Cricetulus griseus: one gene and its partners. Each later gene encodes a partner of the first gene's protein in a complex. Links are inferred from orthologs where the notes say so. Each region holds a gene or a part of one and is shown in the gene's direction. Other genes may lie near its edges. The genes, in order: Itgb7, Flna and Itgae.

The links.
Region 2: the proteins of Itgb7 (region 1) and Flna are in contact, whole or in part, in a crystal structure (PDB 2BRQ), measured with the Homo sapiens proteins. The link is inferred for Cricetulus griseus from reciprocal best matches to the Homo sapiens genes ITGB7 and FLNA. Residues at the interface, in NP_000880.1 of Homo sapiens: Pro776, Leu777, Tyr778, Lys779, Ser780, Ala781, Ile782, Thr783, Thr784, Thr785, Ile786, Asn787, Pro788; in NP_001104026.1 of Homo sapiens: Thr2263, Gly2267, Ala2268, Gly2269, Gly2270, Leu2271, Ala2272, Ile2273, Ala2274, Val2275, Glu2276, Gly2277, Pro2278, Ser2279, Lys2280, Ala2281, Ile2283, Phe2285, Phe2311.
Region 3: the proteins of Itgb7 (region 1) and Itgae are in contact, whole or in part, in a cryo-EM structure (PDB 8ZJF), measured with the Homo sapiens proteins. The link is inferred for Cricetulus griseus from reciprocal best matches to the Homo sapiens genes ITGB7 and ITGAE. Residues at the interface, in NP_000880.1 of Homo sapiens: Val201, Leu202, Pro203, Ser206, Thr207, Val208, Pro209, Ser210, Lys211, Arg213, His214, Cys216, Pro217, Arg219, Leu220, Glu221, Arg222, Leu255, Asp256, Ser257, Pro258, Thr291, Phe292, His293, Thr294, Ala295, Gly296, Asp297, Lys299, Leu300; in NP_002199.3 of Homo sapiens: Phe36, Leu38, Arg91, His92, Arg93, Gly94, Leu111, Arg113, Leu118, Ser119, Ser120, Leu122, Glu196, Glu198, Arg230, Tyr233, Glu234, Phe237, Glu238, Cys239, Asn240, Ser259, Gln260, Val262, Met263, Leu266, Arg300, Leu401, Gln403, Phe406.

What each region holds. Positions count from the first base shown.
Region 1 is NC_048595.1:398,600,356-398,603,544, reverse strand, and holds the end of Itgb7 (integrin beta-7), read left to right. Parts: intron 1-46; coding exon 47-240; intron 241-786; coding exon 787-1,010; intron 1,011-1,199; coding exon 1,200-1,419; intron 1,420-1,566; coding exon 1,567-1,772; intron 1,773-1,973; coding exon 1,974-2,137; intron 2,138-2,347; coding exon 2,348-2,434; 3' UTR 2,435-2,599; downstream 2,600-3,189. UniProt on the Homo sapiens protein: Integrin ITGA4/ITGB7 (alpha-4/beta-7) (Peyer patches-specific homing receptor LPAM-1) is an adhesion molecule that mediates lymphocyte migration and homing to gut-associated lymphoid tissue (GALT).
Region 2 is NC_048604.1:1,462,456-1,466,893, forward strand, and holds the start of Flna (filamin-A), read left to right. Parts: upstream 1-1,572; 5' UTR 1,573-1,702; intron 1,703-4,438. UniProt on the Homo sapiens protein: Promotes orthogonal branching of actin filaments and links actin filaments to membrane glycoproteins. Anchors various transmembrane proteins to the actin cytoskeleton and serves as a scaffold for a wide range of cytoplasmic signaling proteins.
Region 3 is NC_048600.1:86,886,984-86,890,628, forward strand, and holds part of Itgae (integrin alpha-E), read left to right. Parts: intron 1-381; coding exon 382-606; intron 607-1,789; coding exon 1,790-1,920; intron 1,921-3,257; coding exon 3,258-3,388; intron 3,389-3,645. UniProt on the Homo sapiens protein: Integrin alpha-E/beta-7 is a receptor for E-cadherin. It mediates adhesion of intra-epithelial T-lymphocytes to epithelial cell monolayers.

The sequences.
Region 1 (3,189 bases):
CACACATGAGGGTGTGTATAGCTTTGTCTGGTCCTCCTGTCTTCAGGTAGATTTCTGGGTTACTCTTCAAGTCACTCACTGCCTCCCAGAGCCCCATCTCCTAAGGTTCTGGGCCCTTGGCTTCTCAGAGGAGTTAACTGTGGAGTTACACACACTGTGTGACTGTAACTGTAGTGACACCCAGCCCCACGCTCCCTACTGCAGCAATGGCCAGGGACACCTTCTATGCGGGATATGCAGGTGAGGCTGGCTTTATTCGTTCCTTTAGCTCCCATGACCTTCTCCTTGTATTCCCCGTCCTTTGTTTCTGCTTTCTGGAGTGTCCCAGACATCTTATGACTCCACCTGAATATCATGTCCCGAAGAAGCTTCCCATATATGCCAGGGTCTTCATCTTGACCAGAATCCCTCCAGTCTTTCCTCCCTCTATCGTTGGTACTCTACTATGTCCTAGTATTGTTCCATCTGTTTCCATCTCCCTTGAGGACATGGGCCTAGAGCAGTGGTTCTCAACCTTCCTAATGCTATGACCCTTTAATAGTTCCTTATGTTTTGGTGACCCCCAACCATAAATTATTTTTGTTGCTATTTCACACCTGTAATTTTGCTACTGTTATGAATTGTAAACATCTGTGTTTTCTCATGGTCTAAAGCAACCCCTGTGAAAGGGTCATTTGACCCTCAAAGCTCACGACTCACAGGTTGAGAATCACTGCCCTAGAGGCTCTTGAGAGACAGACCAGACATGGTCAAACTGATCCATCTCTCTCTGCTTTCCCCTCCCAGCTGTGTCCCGGGCCGCCTTGGTCAGCTATGTGAGTGCTCTGAGGCTGAACTGTCCTCCCCAGATTTGGAATCTGGCTGCCGGGCCCCCAATGGGACAGGGCCCCTGTGCAGCGGGAAGGGACGATGCCAATGTGGACGTTGCAGCTGCAGCGGACAGAGCTCTGGGCGTCTGTGCGAGTGTGATGATGCCAGCTGTGAACGGCATGAGGGCATCCTCTGTGGAGGTACCTAGAGTCTTTGGGAGAAGGGAGGGAAAGAGGGCCTCCTAGCGCACTTAGACGCTGAGGGCAAATTTCAAAGATTGTGGTTATGAGCTAGAGGACATGCCCAGCACAATTGAGAAGGACGATAGTGACATGCTGGGCCAACTGTGTGTGAAAATGGTGATCACCCTATGCATGGTTCTTCCTCAGGCTTTGGACACTGCCAATGTGGAGTATGTCACTGTCACGCCAACCGCACGGGCAGAGCATGTGAATGCAGTGAGAATGTGGATAGCTGTGTCAGTCCCAACGGAGGGCTCTGCAGTGGGCATGGACACTGCAAATGCAACCGTTGCCAGTGCCAGGATGGCTACTATGGGGCTCTGTGTGACCAGTGCCTTGGTTGCAAGTCACCATGTGAGCAATACAGGTGAGGCCTCTGGTCTTTCATCTTGGGAGTTGGGGCACAGTGAGCTTGCTAAGAACTCCTACCTGCCTGCTCTCCTTGAGGGTGTGTAGGGGAGGGCTACTAGATAGCTGCTGCCCAGATGGGAACTCATTGACATTCACTGAACAGGGACTGTGCAGAGTGTGGGGCCTTTGGCACTGGTCCCCTGGCAGTCAATTGCAGCGTGGCCTGTGCCGATGTGAATGTGACTGTGGCCATGGTCCCTAATTTGGACGATGGCTGGTGCAAAGAGAGGACACAAGACAACCAGCTGTTCTTCTTCCTGGTGGAGCATGTGGCTGAAGGAGTCATACTGAGAGTGAGACCCCAAGAGAGTAAGTGCACAGAGCCTCAGAACTAGGGATGTGAATGGGTTTGAAGTAGAGCTGCAAACCTAGGGCAAAGGCAGAGGGGATGAGACTAAGGTCCAAGGAAGACAACCTTGGGCTCTGCTGGGTTGTTTTTAGTGACAGGGCTGGGGAGGCTGGACACCCTTCGGGTAACTGTGGATCAGCTCTTATACCTTGGCCCACCAGAGGGAGCAGCAGATCACACCCGTACCATCATACTGGGCTGCATAGGTGGCATTGTGGCTGTGGGACTAGGGCTAGTCCTGGCTTATCGGCTTTCTGTGGAAATCTATGATCGCCGTGAGTACAGCCGCTTTGAGAAGGAGAGGCAGCAACTCAACTGGAAGCAGGTAAGGCCAGCTCCTATTGCCACAGGCTGGGCTTTCCTTACTTGACTTCCCTGGGGTCCTCTTCCTCTTTTTCTACTTCCCTAAGCTGTAACCAGCTCCAAAGCACCCTTACCCAAGTCCCTCCCGCTTATGCTGGGTTGGCCTCACAGGATTAGGCAATGGGAGAGCCTGCTATTTTCCTTACACAATGTTCACAATGTTTTCCCACAGGACAGCAATCCTCTCTACAAAAGTGCCATCACAACCACTATCAACCCCCGCTTCCAAGAGACAAACGGTCCTGGTCCCTCTCTCTGACTGAGGCAACACTCACTTAGGATTCTTGTCTTGGAGGACAGTGGGGGACAGCAGGGCAGGGCCTGTCAGAGGGCTGCTTCCCACGGCTGCAACCATTCCCCACCTCATGAAGGGTTCTCCCACAATAAAGGCTTGCCTCAGACCACAGCCTTCACTTTGCTTCACCCCAAGACAGAAAAAGCAGACTGCCTAGCTCAGGTCTCAGGACGACAGGTGTGTTTCTGTTGTGTGACCTGGGAATACCTGGGCCAGTGGATATCAGGTGATGCTATCTACCACCTTCTAAGAGACCCTACCTACCCATCTTGTCAGGCTGCTGAGAACCTTTCTCAGCAAAAATGATACCTTTTTGTCTCTACTTGTTGTGTCTCTTTGGAGAGAAGATGTTTTAACAGGGTAGCTTGCTCTGTTACAAGTTGTAGGGTGGTTAACATAGAAAAGGAGCCTATTAAAACCACTCTGGCCTTTGGTGATAAAGTGCCCCCAACAAATCAAGTCTTCTCAAAGAGGAGATGGAATGTAGAAAAGCGCCATTCTTTTTATTTAAATATCCTAAATATATCACGAAGGAACATACACTGCACTTTAATGGTAAAAAGATACAAGTTTATAACATCTTATAAAACTACCATTTAAAAGTGATCTTGTTCATTTGATAGTCCCCTCCCCCATAGCAAAATAAGTATATTTAAAAAAAAAAAAAAAGGTGGAGCATGGTAGGAGGGAATTGAAGATAAAAGCCCAGGGCCACAGTA
Region 2 (4,438 bases), on another chromosome or scaffold:
TTGTATGTGTGTGGGGGATGTCTTTGAAATGCAGCTCACAGTCACTACCTCCCCCATGCCCCTTCCATCTGCCTACCGGTTGATCTGATTACCATGCCTGTGGGTAAATGGGTTTATCCTCCGGAAAGACAATCATCTCCATGTACTCTAGTGCCACCTCACAAACTTGAAATCAAGCCACTAATTTAGCAATTTATGATAATTCATTGGCTTCCCTAGCAGAGGTCTCCTGCTAGACAGAACAGTGAGGGATCTTGATCTTATTGGGAGGCCAGAATGTGAAATGTCATTGCCAGTGGAGCCAACAAAGGTAGCACTGGATGCATAGTGCCTGGAGGGGACCCCAGCACTTTGCTCTTCAAGTTACACTATAGATTACTAAATTGACTCTGGAGATGTGATCAAACTCCCCCTCACTGCTCTTTCATATTCTTTCTTTTCTCCCTTTTATCTTACTATATAGCATGTGCCACCTTCTCTTTTTGATAATATTGAGTAGGAAAACAAATTAAATAGGCCTGTTATTCCAACATTTATGAAACAGAAATTGGGAGGGGGATTGCCACTTCAAAGCCCAGTCTGGGTGCTACATAGTGATTTCCAGATCAGCCTGAGCTGCAGAGTGAGTCCTAGTCTACACACACACACACACACACACACACACACACACACACACACACATCAGAAAAGGAAAATCTAATTTGCAATTATCTATTTCAATTTCATGTTATGTGCACACTGGCATAATGCAAATGTAGCTCATATTGGGGTTGCAGGTAAAATGAATAACAAAATGTTAAAAATGGCATTGCTTTATGTGTCCTTTCTGTAGGAAATGACATTTGAGTTGAATCTGAAACTACCAGGAAATGGGCACATAGAACAGGAAGAGAGAGCTTGACAATATTAGGTAATGGCTGTGCCTACCAACTTCACAGATATTTGGCACTTTGTACCACACTGCACACCCCCAGGCTTTAAGACTTCACCTGATTGCTTTGAGAATTCAATGTATTTTTGTTGTTTGCTCACAGCCAACAGCTGCACCTAGCAGGAACCAAATCAATGATAGCTAGCTACAAGGGCTTGTTCATTACAGTGCTCAGGGACCCATTGGGGCCTTAGGAACGAACGGTTGGTGCTCACTGCAATTACCTGTTTCATCTCTTCCCATGGAACAAGACCTGACCGGTGTGGCCAAACCAGGCTTGGGCAGAGGCAGAAGGCTGTGACTGTGGGCAATTCCCCTGTATAGGTGGCTTTGGAGCGGGGCCTTCTTTCCAGCCAGTAAGCATTTGGCTCCCTTGTACTCATCTAGCCTATTAAAGGTTGGGCCTAAACACAGGTTTTGCAGACCCCCCCCCCCCCCGGAAGCCTGGCGGCCCTCACGGAGCAGTGAGCTCATTCTGAGGGATGGCGTCGCCTGTCAGCCAGGGCACTTGAGCTCGTGGCGCGCCCCCGCATCCCCTCCCCGCCCCCGGCTCCAGGGCGATTTTACCAATTAAGGCTTTCTTGCCGGGACGGGCTCTGCCGGGCCCCGCGCGGGGCGGACGTGGGGCGGGGATGCAGCCAACAAGAAGGCGGGCAGCAGCGGCTCATTCGCGTGGAGGCGCGCGGCGCGCAGCGGACGCCAGGGGAGTTCTGAGGCCTCTGGCTCGAGCGCAGAGAGCTGGGCGCCACCCCGCGGTTGGAGGGACAGCAGGTGAGGGCTCTGTAATTAGCTCCACACCGGATAGTAGTCAGATAGTGGGTGCGACGCTCGGGAGCTGGGAAAGGTTTGGAAAGCAAGCAGAGAGGCCGAGGCCAGGCAGTTTGGGTGTGGACTCAGGTCCGAGGCATCGTGTTAGTGTCCAGACTTGCATAGTTTACCACAAACTTATGTTTGTGCTCAGGAATCTGTGAGCTCGAGGTCATGGGGGGGGGGTCCCTGAAAGAGGGGCTGGTATCTGAGTGTTTGGCAGGAGATGGGTACAGGCGTGGGTACCCATTAATTGGTCTTTGTGTGACTCTCTGGGGGTGGGAGGGAGGTCTTTTGAGACTAGTATCTTGATTGGGATAAGGGTGAGTGGCAACTTAGAAGGACACTTTTCAGCCAATGGCAAGGGTGGATATGAGTCCACCCTCATATGAATACATATGAGATGATGAGTCCCCTGCTAGTTTGGACATAGGGAGCTGATTTCGGGGCTGTGGTAGGGGTATAGCGAGACAGATTTCCAGCCTGGATCTTGGGTCCTGTCTCAGGTTGGTTCTGAGTATGACGGTCATTGCCAGCCAGAACATAAGCACCAAGGTTCCCAGATCCCAGGAAAGAAAAAGTGGGTGAAACCCACACACAGTCTCTTGCAGCTCCAAGGAGTCTGGCCAAGGTGGAAAGTTCAGGAAATCAATTCTCTATCTTGTCACACCTGAATTTGCCTTACAGGCACTGGTTTTACTTCAGGGATTTTCTGCTTCCTTCCCTCCTGGCGCCCCCTGGCTACACAAGTCTAGAAAAGCTCTTCAGGGTCCTAGTATAGCTGGTGGGCTTGGGTCTATAGTTCCCTATGGGAGGGCCTGGCCTAGGGTCTGATGGTGGGGGTGGGAGAGGTGGGCGGGGTGTGCCTAACATCGAAGAATCTACTCCAAATAAGGGAAAATATGAAAGAGCTGGATTTTGGCTTCCTGGAGCTGCCCCTGGATCTTTGAGATGGAGCGACATCTGGTGGTGGCACTGTGTCCACTCTAAGGCCAAGAACTCTCCCCCCTCCCCCACCCCTACCCCCGAAATAGCCAAATCATAGGGCTGGAAGCTGGGACTCCCAACTTCTGTGTGATCCATTACTATGATTCCGTCTTCCTTGTTTCCTGCCAATTAGTGAACTCAGGTGATCCAGACAAATGGCACACAGTGGAAAATCCATTATTGATTCAATTCCATACATGGGGATTTACTCTCCAGTAGGTCAGGGTAATCAGAAAGATAACTCTAATTATGTCTTGAATGACAGCCCTTAAATTTTCCATTTGGGTTACCCCCTCTCAGTTCTGCCATCCTGTCCCTCAACTCTCCCCTTGGCTTACTTGATGCAGGTATATATGAAAACAAAAGAGAGGATATGCAGGTGACTGGAGGTAGGATAGGGGAGTTCCATACTGAAAATGTTATTTGACGGGTGAGATTATAGAGAGTACCAAGATGAACATGCTGAGGCAGAGGTGGTGCCCATTGTGAATATAACCTTACCATAGCCCCACCACAGGCAATGCAGACACCCCAAGCAATAGGAGAGCCAACCATATTTGGGCATGCCATGTTGGCCAGCCCAAGGCCTCCTTCAACCACCAGTCTTTCAGAAGATAAATCATTGCTACAATTTGAGAAGTAGTGATAAAGGCCTGCCTTTCTGGAAAAACACAGAAGGGAACATTCTGGAGAGGCTTGAAGTACAGAGAATGTAGATGGAAGGAGTCTATCATGGGAAAGGTAAGCGAATTCCCTTAACTGGAGGGTGGTAGTGAGTGTCTCCTACAGTTTCTTGCCTCTGTGCCTTTGCTCACCTCTGCCTCAGTACAGCATCCTCATCATTATCCCCAGAATTATCTATCATAAAATGAACTTTAAGTGAATAGCTTCATACCCACTCAGGGAACACAACCTAGGCTCCTCAGCAAGCCTTGGTGCCTGCTGATTGTTTTTCAGTAATCTGGGACCCTATCCCTGAGCCTCTCCACACCTCTAGGGTCACACCAAACCTTGGGGATACTGTGCCAGACGAGAACTCTACTGCAGAACTCTTCAGGGCCCCAGGTGGATGGAAATGTGAGTTAGACAGGCACAAAGTGTACCCGTCTACACGCATCACAAGGCGGGTGTCTTCTGATTATGACCACTGGCATGTCTCGGGGCCTTTGGAAGGCTTCTTGGTCCTGGAGTGCTGGCAGCCTCCCTGGCCCAGTTGCTTGCCCCATTTCCTCCCAGATGGAGCTAGGGGGCAGGCAGGGCCACAGAGACTGAGAAGACCAGCGAAGATGGGTGGGGCGGGCCAGGGGTCTGCGGGTGGCTACTTAGGTGATGAGAGCCCTGAGTCGCAGCTGTTTCTTGGCACTAGTGTGCACAAAGAGTTCCCAGCAGTACCAGGCTGTCTGAAAGGATTCGCTCTCAGGATTGGACTCTTTGCATTGCTGTGGAACAGACTGCCCCTGAGGACCCTCAGCTCTGGAAGATGAGGGAAATGAAGATAGAGGAGGAGGGTGCAGGATTGGGGCAGAGTTCAAGTGATTCAGGGACCTTATTCGCTCCATCCCCTGCAGGGACCTTGAGGAAAGAGAGTCCCTTGTAAGGGCGTGCCAGCTGGAATTGAGCAATCCTGTGCCAGAATTGGTGTGTGCCAGAATTGCTCAGCCTTTCCCAGCTCTAGCGTCCGTTTCTTGTACTGTTAGCAGATGTTGCCGGACC
Region 3 (3,645 bases), on another chromosome or scaffold:
TTGCCCAGTAGACAGAACGCTTGTCCTGGTCTCCCTGGTTCCTTACAGTAACTATGGGAGTGGCTCTCCCTTTCACATTATTGATGAGGAGTCTAAGATTCAGTGATCTAGTGGTGCTGGGTGTGGGAGAGCTGCAACTGGCCGCTAGGTCTCTCTATCGCTAATATAGCAATGTGTGGGAGTAGAGGGACAGGCTCCAGGTCTTGAACTTCAAGACAGGAAGGTACCGGCTTTACTGTAGGCTCAGATCCCTTGTCTTCTCTCAGCCTTGGACTCCTGCTAGAGAGTGGGAACCAGTGAGGGAGAATGCCCTCCCGGTGGTCCTGGGATGGTTGCCCTGCACACCTTTCTTGGGAACTGAGCTGTTGGTTCACTTTGCAGGATGCTTCCTTCTCCTTGGCACGCACACTGAGTGGGCATCCTGGGCTCACCAACAGTCGATTTGGCTTTGCCATGGCAGCAGTGGGGGATATCAATCAAGATAAATTCACAGATGTGGCCATTGGGGCCCCTCTGGAGGGCTTTGAGGCAGGCGATGGGACCAGCTATGGCAGTGTGTACATCTACAATGGACATTCAGATGGCCTCCGTGCCAGTCCTTCCCAGGTGACTCTACAGGCTCTTTCCTTCTTCTTCTTCTTTGGGGTTCAAACCTCCTACAGATAGAATGAGCAGAGCCCTGAGTCAGGTGGTAGAGAATGCCAGTGAGGGCAGGAAGTCACCAGGGGTAGGGTAGGAGGGTTCCAGAGCAGGCCTCCTCCAAATCCTTCAGGAAAGGAGGCCGGGCGTTGGTGACGCACACCTTTAATCCCAGCACTTGGAAGGCAGAGGCAGGTGGATCTCTGTGAGTTCGAGATCAGCCTGGTCTACAAGAGCTAGTTCCAGGACAGCCTCCAAAGCCACAGAGAAACCCTGTCTCGAAAAAAAAACAAAAAACAAAAAACAAAAAAAGGAAAGGAGAGAGTGAGGCATGGTTTGCTTTCCTGGCCTGTGTCTCCTCCTTTGCCACTGCCAACCATCAACCCACTTCAGGTCCCTCTCTCTGCCTCTTTTGTCTTTGGTTCTTGTCTCCATCCAGCTCCTCCACGCTCTGGCTCCTCCCCTTTCCCTAGCTTCAGGTGCTTCCTAAGCACCCCCCCCCCCAAGCTGGTCCCTAGGCCTCTCACTCTTACTCTTACTCTCAGTCCACAGCACCTTCTTCCAGAAATGGATGCTCCTCTGTGCCCATCTCTCTCTCCTCCTCACCAGATGCCCAGGATAGCCCCCAGCCCTTTGATACCCAATGCATAGCCTGTCAGCCACCACATCATAACGCTTCTAGCTTTGCTACCCCCTCCCCCAACCCATGGCATCAGCTTAGGCCTTCCATCCATCCCTCCCCGGGGCTCCAGCTCCCAGCTTCTAAACTCTGGCCCTGATGAGGTCAGTCTTCCAGAGAGCCTTTCCTGCTGCCCCCACCCCAGCCCACATCAAACCTTACACTCATACCCCCTAACCTCCTTCTACCCCACCTGACCCCTGCACCTGAGCCTTCACTGTTCTCAGAGCACTCTGCTCTTCCCCTTGGCCTCCCCCTTAAGTCCCACCTGTCCTTCGGGTACCCCTTCCCCAAAGACAAAGGACAGGCAGAGAGAGGGCCCTGAAGTGGTTTGATGGTTGGCAGTGGCAACGGAGACAGGCCAGGAAAGCAAAGATACCACTTTCTCAGAGACCATTCATGGCCAGGGTGGGAGGTGGGTCGTGCCGCTGAAGGAGATAGAAAGCAAAGTTACTCTTTCTCCTTCTGCAGCGGATCAGAGCCTCCTCGGTGGCCTTGGGACTCCACTACTTTGGCTTGTCTGTGGCTGGTGGCTTAGATTCCAATGGCGATGGCCTTGCTGACATCACGGTGGGCTCTCGGGACCGGGCAGCTGTGCTCCGGTAGGCGTCTCCCCAGACTTCTTTTGACCGAAGCCCCAGCCCTACTCCTTGTTCTACACCCAGTGGGTCCTGCAGATTCCAAGCACCAAGGGAGGGAGGAAGTGTGGGGGCGGGACACACCTTCTGGGGTCTGCCTGGGTAAGTTTGCTCCTCAGCTCTCAACAGTGTGACTTTGGGTGAGCAACTTCTTATCTGTAATTGGGAATAATGACGGCGAGTGCCTCACAGGGGTGGGAGGAAAACGTGTGAGAAAATATGAAAATACATAGTGCTGGGTGGTAGGGGGCAGCATGCTGTGAATTCCAGCACCGCTGGGTTCTAGCTTCAGGCAATTTTCAGTCCTGTGGTCAGAGCCCCTGTCACCCAGTTCTCTCCAGAGAGTCCCACACCTGTTGTCCAAGTGAACAGGCCTCCAAGTGGAGCACCTGTTCTTCCCACCTTCCATCCCCAGTCTACCCCTCCCCCAGGCTCCTGTTTCAGCAAATGGTCCTATATCGCCCACCTAGAGAATGAGGGTTACATTCTAGAACTGGGCCTGTTGGCATGGGCCTGTAATCCCAGCTACTTGGGAGGCTGGGGCAGGCAAGTCACCAGCTCAAGACCCTCTGGGATATGGAGGACAAAAGCTCTCTGTAGGCTTCCTCTTCCTCCTTCATCCATCACCCTGTCTATAACATACTTATTGACTTCAACTCCAAAACACCTCCCAGCACCGGGGACTGTCATCTCTCTCCAGGCCCATCATGTAGACTTTCCTGTGCTCTTTTGACCTGATCCCTCTGTGCTACTACTCAAAACCCCTCAGTGACCCCTGCCAGAGTAAAACCCGGTTCCTTGCCACCACCTACAAGCTGTCTGTGATTGGCCCTGCCCACCCTCCAATCTTCAGCCTTTGTCACTTTTGACACTCTGTTTCACTCATTATGTTCCAGTCTGTCTGTCCTTTATGTTTTCCAAACAAGCCAACCTCATCCTGGCACAGGTCCTTTTGCACCAGCTGTGTTTTCTGCCTGGAATCCTTCCTCAGACCTTCATATAGCTGGCTTTTTCTTGTTAGTGGCTTTTACTTTCAAGGCCTCCTTATCAGGGAGTATAGTCTGACCACCTGATCTAAGTAGCTTCCATGCCAGTCACCTTATTATCCTGTTACAGCATCGCCAGTCCCTGTATGTCTCTAGCCCCTTTACTGCTGGTTCTCTGCTTCCCCACAAAAGCAAATCTTATCTCTTTCTCTACTGTTAATGTACCCTGAGGATTCAGTGTACCCTTGCATGTTGGAGATGTTGAATGCAGCAAAATCTGTGCTCATTCCTAATGGGCCTCTTTGCTTTTTTTAGCTCACAACCTGTAGTTGACCTGGCCGTGTCTATGACATTTATCCCCGCTGCACTGCCCATGTTCTTCAAGGACAACGTGGATGTAGAACTGTGTTTCGAAGTTGCCTCCTCAACTACAGCCTCTAATCCAGGTAATGGCTGCCTGGTGGGGTGCCCTGGTGTTGTGGTCATTCCTGATTGGCTTGTAGGTACAGTCCGGGTCCCTTTCCTGAAGTCTGGCTGCTGTTTGGTTAAATGTGTATGCCCCAGGAAGCAAGTAAGCTGAGATCATAGCCATGTTGAGAGGAAGGGGGTTTGGGAAACAATCAGAAAGGCAGCGGCTGCCCCATCTTTGCCTGCTGTTCCCACCTGAGCATTGCAGGGCCCCCAGAGGCACGGCCTCTCTCCA